2 linked regions of the Caenorhabditis elegans genome follow. The protein of the gene in region 2 purifies or fractionates together with the protein of the main gene of each other region. This does not show direct contact. Each region holds a gene or a part of one and is shown on either strand. Other genes may lie near its edges.

Region 1 (4,731 bases), on a different chromosome or scaffold from region 2:
TAGGCTTGGGCTAAGACATAGGTTAGGGTCAGGCTTGAGCTAAGGCTTAGGCTTAGGCTTAGGTTCAGGCTCAAACTCAAGCTTGAGCTTATTCTCGAGCATTTGAAACATTGTTCGTGTCGAAACCAGGTTCCGTGTTGCTTCTGAAACTTTGATGTTCAAAAAATTCTGAAAAATATAAAAGTTGCAAAAATATTACATTCAATTTGTAAAAAAATTAATTTCTGAAATTTCAAAAAAAAAAGAACTGAAAGTTTATGTTTCTGGAAATTTCAAAATTTTTAATCCAAAATTTTTAGAATTTCAGAACTATTTCTTGAATGTTGTTTTTTTCGGAATTTTCAAATTTCTAGAAAATTTAAATACTTCTGAAACTGTAGTTTTTTGAATTTTCAGAATATAATGAATATCAGAGGTTTTGAATTGTTAGTTGTTTTTAGATACTGAAATAATTTTTGGCGATTTTCGGCTTTCAGAATTTTCAGAATATTTTGATTATTTGAGGTTCTGAATTGTTGGTTTTTTGAAAGATTTTTCCATGAAACTTTTTTGCGATTTTCTGCAAAAATTCCCACGAAAAATCTCAAAACTGGAAGGTATAAATGCGGTGACAAATATTAAAAAAAAACAATTCTCTGATTCCGTACAATTTTGCAAAAATTTCCAGCAAAGCGACAGGTATCTTCTGATCTCATTCACTTCAAGTTAACGTCTATATTCTTTTCAACTCAGCGGGCTCAAGTCCTCTTGTGTCTTTTATAATTACATGTAGCATTAGGTTTCCACAACGACCACGTCTCCGTGCTCTTTTTGAAACACCCATAATTTACATTCCATCAGACAGCTCGATTCTGATTGAAGTTTTCACTTTTTTCGAAATTTATGTATTGCTCCCCCCGGGTTACAAGCATATGTATAGTCGATTTTGAAACGATTTTGTTTCACTGAAAGTTTAAAAAAATGTTTTTTGAAACCTAGAAAAATGTGTTTTTTATTATATTTTCCCCAGAGTTGCATTTCTTTCTAGCAAATTAGAATGCCCAGAGTAGTTCAAAAAAATGTTTTGCCCCTTGTCTTTGTGATATCTTTTTCCGTACCTTCCTCCAAACTTCTCACCACAACCATTATATGGGCGGAGCCTAATAAACCCCTCCTGTTTCACAATTCAAATTTCCAGGTACATCATGTCATCAAAAGAGCTCTATAGACTCAAAACTTTCGACGATCACTATTTCGAAATGTCCACCGAATCAATCGGAGATCCTCTCCCAGATGGCAAGCCAAGTCCAACAGGGAAAAGCTTCCAACTATGTGATACCAGTTCCGAACGTCAAAGGAATTACCATGAAGATGGTTGTCACCTGGTGCATCCGTCATCGAGTCGAAGTTCCGAGCACTTCTACGTGGGAAGTTGACTATGTTAAATCATTGGATCGAGAGGAACTGAAAGATGCGATATGGGCCGCCAAGTATCTTCGAATGCCAATTCTTATTAATATTACTAGTTCTGAACTGTTTTTGCGAGCCGAAAATACACCGGTAGAGAGGTTAGATGAAGTGTATCCGATGCCGCACTGTGTAGGCAGAGCTCCGGAGAGAAGCACCAAAATCACCATTCACAAATTCAAATAAACTTGGATACAATTATTTTTGTTTTCTTTTAGTACTCAGTTCATAAATATATTAAAGTGGGATCCATCTTCGTTTTTTAGTGATTTTACAAAAGTTTTATAGTAGAAAAAAACAGAAAATAAACTGTTGCGTTCAATGCTGAAACATTTTTCAATGTTTGAAATGATAATTTTATTCGAGATTTCCAATGAATAAATAACTTTTCATAGAAGGTAGTTTTGGGAAAAAAAATTGGAAATTTTCGCGTCCAGAAAGTATGGAGTCCTATCAATGACTGAAAATATAAAATACTCTATAAGAATAAGAAATTGATATGTTAATAATCAGAAAAATACAATAATTAAAAAAATTCATAGAATCAAGTGAATTATTAACCAAAACTTTAATTCTATGCCATTTCAATTGCTGTTCATCGCGTGTATCGAATTCATTGACTTGCTTTGAACCAACAAATCAATCAATGCCCTCAACATTTTTCTCAATATTATTAAACATGTTGGCTTCAGAAAAAAGTGCTCTTTCATCTCCCTCCGCCTACTCATCTCTCCATCTCTGCCCCTCAAATCTCTCAGCTTCCGTCACCTGTTACTGACGGAATTGATCAGTGAGAAGCTCTTCGAGCGTTTTCATTACATATGTTCAGCCATCTTATTAGTTCTAAAAGGTTAGTTTCAGAATGGTTTTGGCTCCGTTTTTCGAGAAAGCTCCATCGCTTATCATTGCTCCAGACGGATCAGTTCTGTTCGAATGCATCTGTAATGCGAATCCACAACCAACAGTTAAATGGTAAAAGATTTTGGTTTATGAACCCCTAACCTTAACTACTGTAGGTTTTTGAAAGACAAAGAGCTGACTGGTGATCGTTACGTGTCAAAGATCAAGAAGATGGTTGGCAAGTTCACAGTTACACTGCATATCAAGGTAAGTAAGATTTTTGTAATACTGATAAACTGATCGGGATTCTAGATTAAGAAGAGAATAAGAAGAAAGGAACGGATAGAACACTTGATCTGGTTTTTAGAGGGAAACTTAAATTGTAAGAACATGGTGTAATATTGACCTTCGAAACACTTGCCTCGAGATTTTGTTTCACATTTATTTTAAAGTAAAAAACTTCAGAAACAATTTATTGACCTAGAAAATGTCGGCCATTCTTTTAAAAACCGTTCCTGGAAAGTTTGGGATGGTCTCCGGCAGGAACAAAAATTGAAAATAGGCTATACAATTTCGGAAAGTTTTTTTTTTCATTTATCGGAATCGAACATATATTTAAGGGCTGTGCGGTATTTTTTCGGCAAACCCACAATAATGTTTATTTCAAAATGATAATCCAACTTTTTTCATGCAAAATTAACATAGAAACGTAGAGAAAGGTTTGTTCTATCTGGAAAAAATACAAATTTTTTTGAAAAGTTTGAAAAAAAAGTTCAAATAGTGTCTGAAAGTTGTCGTTTGTCTAAACACTTTTAACGGCACTTTTTTGGCAAACGTCAACTTTCATGCACTATTTTTGATTTTTTAAAATTTTCCAACAAAAATAAATATGCACCATAACTGGCTAGATTCACCGTCGATGCACCATATCAAGTTAGATGCACCGTAACTGGTCAAATGTACCATAACTAGTTAAATGCACCATAACTGGTTAGATTCACCGTAACTGGTCAAATGTACCATAACTTGTCAGATGCACCATAACTGGGTAGATTCACCATCGATCATCAGCATAATTCACATACAATTTTTTTGAAATTCAGCTCAAAAATGAAGCTTGATGATGAAAATTAGGCAATGGGAATATTCATACTTTTTGAAAATAAAATTACTTTATATTAAAAATTTCAAAAAGTTGCTAAAAAATTGCCTCAATGCCGTAACACCCATCGGCATACTCACTTGGCACATTTTAAATCAAATGCCAATTTTGATCACTTTTTCATAATCTTCACTAAAATAACGCTATCTTCTAAAAGTACAAATACTTCTCTATATTTTCATATGAATTTCCAGAAATGAGCATTCTAGATAAGTTAATAACAAAGAAAATGTTTCCAGAACCCTACCCAAGAGGACCAAGGAGTTTACAAAGTGACTGCTACAAACACCCATGGCTCACACTCCGTTGAGCAGCAGTACATCTACAAATGCACTGGAAAAGAGGTTTTCAAGACTCTTGACTAAATTCTGCTAGATTTCTTTAATATTTCTTCCAATAAACTTTTCCGTCGCTATACTGTATCTTAATATCACTCGTAGAAGAAACAACGTGGTTATCATGTGATAAGAAGGTCAGAAATAGAGAGAAAAGATGTCAAAAATACTAGGAATTTTGAGTGTAGAGTTCAGAAAAACAGATTGAACAAAAAACGAAGTATACCCGATCAGGGAGATCGGTTTTTGGAAGGAAATAAAAATGATCACATGTGCAGAATAGTAAAAATGTTGATTGAGAAAATTTTGTTGGCGACATGTTGGAGTCAGATCTGTTCGAGAGTTCAAGTTGATAAGAATTCTAGTTTAAAAGTTTAGACTTTTGGTTTGGACATCTGAACTACAGGCTGATAGTTTAAACTGTAGGTACAGAATAGTATGAAAACCGTACGAGCAAACTTTGATGTCAATTTCCTTTGGTAAACATTCAGAATCAAAGATGGGAATGTTTGAAGACTTTTATGAAGTGTGCCAAATATAAAAGTACAATTTTTCAAAAAAAAAAAAAATTGAAAATTTTAATTTTGCGGCAAAAAGTGGCGCTAATTTTGTCGCCTAAAGTCTGAACAATGGCCAACTTTTCTATTAATTCATTGCATATTATTATTTGAAAGTTTTGAACTTGCGGCATTGCTACAAATTTCATATTAAGCTCAATTCTATGTAGTTGAAAATTTGACAATTTGCCAAAACTTTGTCATTAGGGGGAAAATGTAGAAAACTACTTTTCTGGTGTCAAAATGACCGAATATCATAAAAAACGGTTGGATATTTTTTGAACATTTATTGAATTTTTAAAATTTAATGTCAAAAATTAATCAGTTTTTGCCACTCATAATTTTAGAAGTCGACCAAAAAAAATGTTCTCTACATTTTTTACACTGTAGT
Region 2 (5,458 bases):
CCATAAAAGTTATAAACAAAAGGTTCGTAACTGAGGAAATGATTCTAATCTTCTGACAACTCAATTTTAAAAAGAAAATCATTGAACCTTTTGAAAATTAACTAGAACTAGAACTAGAATCAAAAAAAACCATGCGATAATATTTGCATTTAATGAAAATGTTTAATGCCAAGTAAGCAGAGCTTATACATTTAGCTGGAAAAAACAACAATTTATATCTATATACGTAGATATATACCAATATGGTAATAAAAAGTTTTGTGGTACAACTATCACACAAGTACCGAGTTATCAGATACGTAGATGCTTAATGAAAAAATACAACTAACGGAAAAATGTTTCTGAACTGTTAAGCATCGTGTTTATTTGCATTAAGCTCAATACATACTACAGTAATACATTTTGTTTTGAAAATCACCAATATTTAGGAAAATAGGATTTCATAAGCTCAATTTAGTATTAAAAAAAACTTACTTTTTCATTTCATAAACTTTCCGTTATCCTTTAAGATTTGATTTTTTGTTTTAATTTCAGAAAACAGTAATCCATAACGTCTCATCATGAAAAATATTGATTACTTTAATCTTTTAAAGTAAAATCCGCAAATTTTTGGTTCATCGGAAATTTTTTATTGTTCACATTTTTTTAAATTCAAAATGTTTTGTGAAAATATAGTCGTTCGACATTAAAACTTTTTCTGAAATTCCAGACAAATAAGTAAATTACACATCTGTATATATTCGTCATTTTATCTACTTAAATGATCGTTCAAGATGTACATAAAGCCGACAAGATTTTCTCAGAAAAAAACCATTAAAAAGTTTAAAAGAAGAAAATGACTCATTCCACACAAACATTCGCCTTTGAATTGATCCACTTTCCATGTTTGCATAAAATTGAAAAAAAAATGTAAACGAGAAATGGCGGGTGGGTGGTCTGCCGTAGAAAGTCAGCAATCGCAAAAAAGGAAGAAAAAAAATCGATGGATGGTAAAATTAGATAAGACGATTTGAGGGATGGATGGTGAAAAACGAGACATGGAAAGGTTGGAAGACCAAAACTGGCCACGTGGTAGATATTGGGTTCGTGATTTGTTGAATACATGAAAAAAAACGAGTACGCTTTGTCGATATAAAAAGATTTTCGAAACATATAAATTGATTCGTAGCAAAAAATATACACAAAAAGGCACTAACACTTACAAGTTCTGGTGGGGATTGAAAATAAAAACAAAAAGAAACGGTAGATGAAAAACAAAAACACTAGATATCTACTAGAGAAGAATGAGAATTTATTTTAAAAAAATTATAGGACGCAGTAGTAGATTATGACATTTTAGATACGGAACTTGTCAATGACGGCATCAGCAAAATCGACAGTGGTGGCGTATCTGAAATTGGGATTTATTTATTGGTTTCTTCAAATTGCTGGCAGTAAAAATGGGCGAAAGTTTTTAAAAATAATACATTTAGAATAAACTTTATACTTATCAAATATGTACTTTTGTCAACTGTCGATTATCATACTTGAAAACAAATTAAAACAAATTTTGAAACAAATTTGAAACAATTTACAAATATTAGTATTGCCACCGGGGCTGTGTTGCCTGTTGCCGAAAAATTGCCGAAATTTCGGCAACCGATAGTTGCGGGTTGCCAAAAATTGTAGCATTCGGCAACTTTGGCAATTGCCGGTTGCCGCACATCCCTGCTTCCCACAAAACTCACCCTCCCAAATCACGGGTGCGAACTTTTCCCTCCTTAACAACATCAGCGACGGCTTGACGAAGTGAATTTCCCCAAGCATCAAGATGCAAGTGATTGAGCATGTTGGCAGCGCAGAGAATCATGGCAGTTGGGTTGGCGATAGAGCGTCCCATGGCCTCTTGGAAAGAGTGACGACTTCCTGGCTCGAAGATGACAAAGTCACGTCCCACAGATTGTCCTGGCACGACTCCGGCTCCTCCGACCAGTCTGGAATTATAAATTATGAATTTTTTATTTTGAAAATTTGAGATTGTTATTATAATTCTATGACTGATTCATAAGGTTTTGTTTTATTTTTTACTGACCCAGCAGCCAAGTTATCAATGATGTTTCCGTAGAGATTTGGCATGACCATCACGTCGAATTGCTCGGGCTTGGACACCAACTGCATGCAAGTGTTGTCAATAATCATGCTCTCAAACTGGATCTTCGGGTACTGCTTGGCAACTCCTTCACAGGTTCTCAAGAACAAACCGTCTCCGAGCTTCATAATGTTGGCCTTGTGCACGGCGGTGACCTGAAACAAAATCCGAGGTTCTTTCTAATTGCTTTGGTTGCTACAGGGCTTTCTGGTAAACTGAAATTAAGAAACTAAGAGTGAAACTCTGCTTTTCCAATTTTTCAGAAATCATTTTGAAAATATTGTACCTTCTTTCTTCCAGTCTTGGTAGCGTAGTCAAAGGCAAACTTGGCAATGCGCTCGGCTTTGGTTCTGGTAGAAATCTTGAGACATTCAATGACTCCTGGAACGAGCTCGTGCTCCAAGCTGGAGTACTCTCCCTCGGTTTGCTCTCTCACAATCACAAAGTCCAGCTGCTTGCCGTGTCTTGTCTTGATTCCATCAAGGGTCTGAAACAGAACGGTTTTAAGCGAAGTGAGAATATTTAATCTGAAAACATGCTGAAAGTCGGGCTATTTCTTGTACCATAAGTTCCAGAAGCACAACGCACATTTGCTTTTCGTTTATGTTTCTTTTATAGCAATGTATTATTTTAATCCTCACCTTAATGTGAACAACATTGGCGAACAAGTCAAGCGAGCGTCTGAGCCTCATGTTCAGACCCTGAAGTTCTCCTTCCGTGTGCAAAACGGCCGACTCCTCGATGGCGCCTTTGAGAGCAACGTTGTTGTTGCGTCCGATGGACTCAACAGCATTCTCGATGGAAGAGGAGCGGGTGTAGTGGACTTCGGAGAGGAAGATTTCTGAAAATCAAAACTTATATTTTCAAAAAAATTGTCAAATGTATTCAATTTCTCCACGAAACCTACCCTCGAACTCGATTGGAATTCCAGTTTGCTTGACAATATCCTGGACTGTGTAGATCAACTCTGGTCCGACTCCATCTCCCGGGATGATTGTCACTTTCAGTTTTTGGTTGAGCTCGGTTGGTGGACGTGGAGCAGTAATGGAATACTGACGGCTGGAGGCTGCATTCACCGCTCCGAGGGTTTGCGGAGCCACACGGCTCAACGAGGAAACCGTACGAGAGAGCATGCTGAAAACATTGGAGTTTGATTGAAATTATGGTTTCAAAAAAGTGGAAAAAGGAGAAAAATCATTTTACACTACTTGGAGATTTTCAATATTTGACTCAAACAAGTAATTTCCAAAGAGTTGCATTCTAGTTTTCTTTTACAATCAAAGATCTAAATCGATAAAAGCCTTGCTGTGCCATGCCATCAGAGAGCGAGAGTGCAGCGAGGGGGAAAAAGGACAGTTGTTACTTTTGGGTGGATAATACCTATTTAGTTTCCAAGAATTATTCGAGCGAAAAATTTTTAAAAAACTGCAGTTAAACTTCAACCATTAAGTAAAATTACTTGACTACTGCGCGTAAACCTTTGTTTTGTGAGCGGAAATTTCAAAAAAACACAGTGTAAAAGGTAGCAGCTTTCTGGTGAATTATAGTGCTAGAAAATCGAATGGCCAGCTGTGAAATTTTATTTCTATGAATGAAAAAAAAACACAGTTTCCAAAAACAACTTCTCAACAGCTGTGAAAACTGCATAAAACTCTTTTTTCATTACATATTTTACAAAATCCACAAAAACGAAGTGAAAATCTAGAACGCTCAAGTTGATGAATGAGAATAAATAAACAAATGAGGCTCACCTGATGTGCGCCAAGAACAACGGGCGAGGTGCACGAAGAGCGTGTCAGCAGCGATCTGGCGTGTTTATCGATTTTGCCTTGCCGGCGGCCATCGCCAGTGGCAGTTGTTTCGGTGGTCTTGGGAGAAAAAAAAGAAAGAGGGGCCTGTCAGGTTTTGTGTTGTTTGGGTGGATTTTTGTGGATTTCAAAATTGTTTCTCAATATTTAACATTTTTTGGAGTATGAAGAATGACAGAATAATTGTTATTTGTAATTTTTGTAAAATTTTAGCTGGCAAAAAGTTTTAAAAAACTCACAAAACATTTTCGAGACAACTTGGAAGTTCTTTCCAATTTTCATAAAGCAATTTGTGTCGTCATGTTTTCGCCTATTGTAATTGCCAACAATACGATTAAATTACTATGAATTTGTGTATATTATACATAGTACGCCAGATAACCATTTTATTAAGATTCCTTGTTTTAAGTATATTAAGGAATCATAATTCTTAATTAACAATGACGTTGATGTATTTATGAGCCAGTTGCTCATATACTCTCTGAACTGAACTAGACTAGATTTTTTGGAGATTTAATGGTAGTGTACATTCCATTTAGTGTTTGGTGTTTCACACCTTCATCAACTTTTTGTGCATCTAGAGTCAATGAACACTGGCATGATATCATATTGTTTTTGTTATAAAAAAAGCATACACAAAATATGATATTGTTTTTTAAGTTACTTTTTTAAAAGTTTTTGATCATTTTGGTATCATGAGATAAAATAGTTATTTAAAACTGAAACTTTTCTTCAATTCAAATTCAATTCCCATCCTCTGTTTTCTGATAAAGTCGCCTCTTTGATTGATGAAGAAAACTTTCCTCTTGCCGTATAAGGAAAAAACAAGGAAAGGTTTTTAACGATTCTGCAAGTTGCTGGCTCATTTTCAGTTTATTTTCTCGCTTTGTTTTTAGCTGATGGTAACAAATATTAAAAGATGTATATAAAGATTGAATAGCGTTGAAAAATCACTTATATTGGCTTACGCTAGAACGACCAAATATCATTAGAATTTTACAATTTTCTGCTTTTTTAAATTTTCAAACATTTCAAACAGTTCAAAGTTTCATCACCGTATTACCCTCGTGCATGATGATTTCTTGAAATATATCTCTTTGCACATGTTTCACGTAATATCTTTTATTAAAAACGTTACATGCCAACATGAAATACTTAATCAAAGAGCTCTTTCAGTAAAATATTAAATCACACTTCTAGTCACTTTTTTGATTGTTTCCCTGATAATAATGCCTACAAACATGCTTGCCGGGGAAATATTATAGTACAGAAAAACACAGTCATTTGTACAGTTTTATACTTTAATTTTTTTTCAACACTTTCAAGTATTTTCAGACCCTATCACCGCTTTCGTCAATATCTCTCAAATTTAAAAGATTAGTTTAACTAATAAAACAATACAAAACTTAAAATTTCAATTTAAAAAACGGGAATGTCAGAAAGGAAATATTATTGCTCTTTCCTGAAATTGATCACTTTGCTATCCTTTTTTCAAACTGCATATTGAATCCATACTTCAATA

Evidence for each region. Proteins that work in one complex are often made in the same cells at the same time.
Region 1: the proteins of idhb-1 (region 2) and oig-2 fractionate together in Caenorhabditis elegans (co-fractionation; one large-scale study listed by BioGRID). This does not show direct contact.

Annotation. Positions count from the first base shown.
Region 1 is NC_003280.10:13,005,741-13,010,471, reverse strand, and holds oig-2 (Ig-like domain-containing protein), read left to right. Parts: upstream 1-2,307; 5' UTR 2,308-2,308; coding exon 2,309-2,418; intron 2,419-2,462; coding exon 2,463-2,553; intron 2,554-3,687; coding exon 3,688-3,813; 3' UTR 3,814-3,859; downstream 3,860-4,731.
Region 2 is NC_003284.9:14,170,128-14,175,585, forward strand, and holds idhb-1 (putative isocitrate dehydrogenase [NAD] subunit beta, mitochondrial), read right to left. Parts: upstream 3,263-5,458; 5' UTR 3,262-3,262; coding exon 3,036-3,261; intron 2,970-3,035; coding exon 2,770-2,969; intron 2,616-2,769; coding exon 2,415-2,615; intron 2,284-2,414; coding exon 2,072-2,283; intron 1,974-2,071; coding exon 1,728-1,973; intron 1,391-1,727; coding exon 1,336-1,390; 3' UTR 737-1,335; downstream 1-736.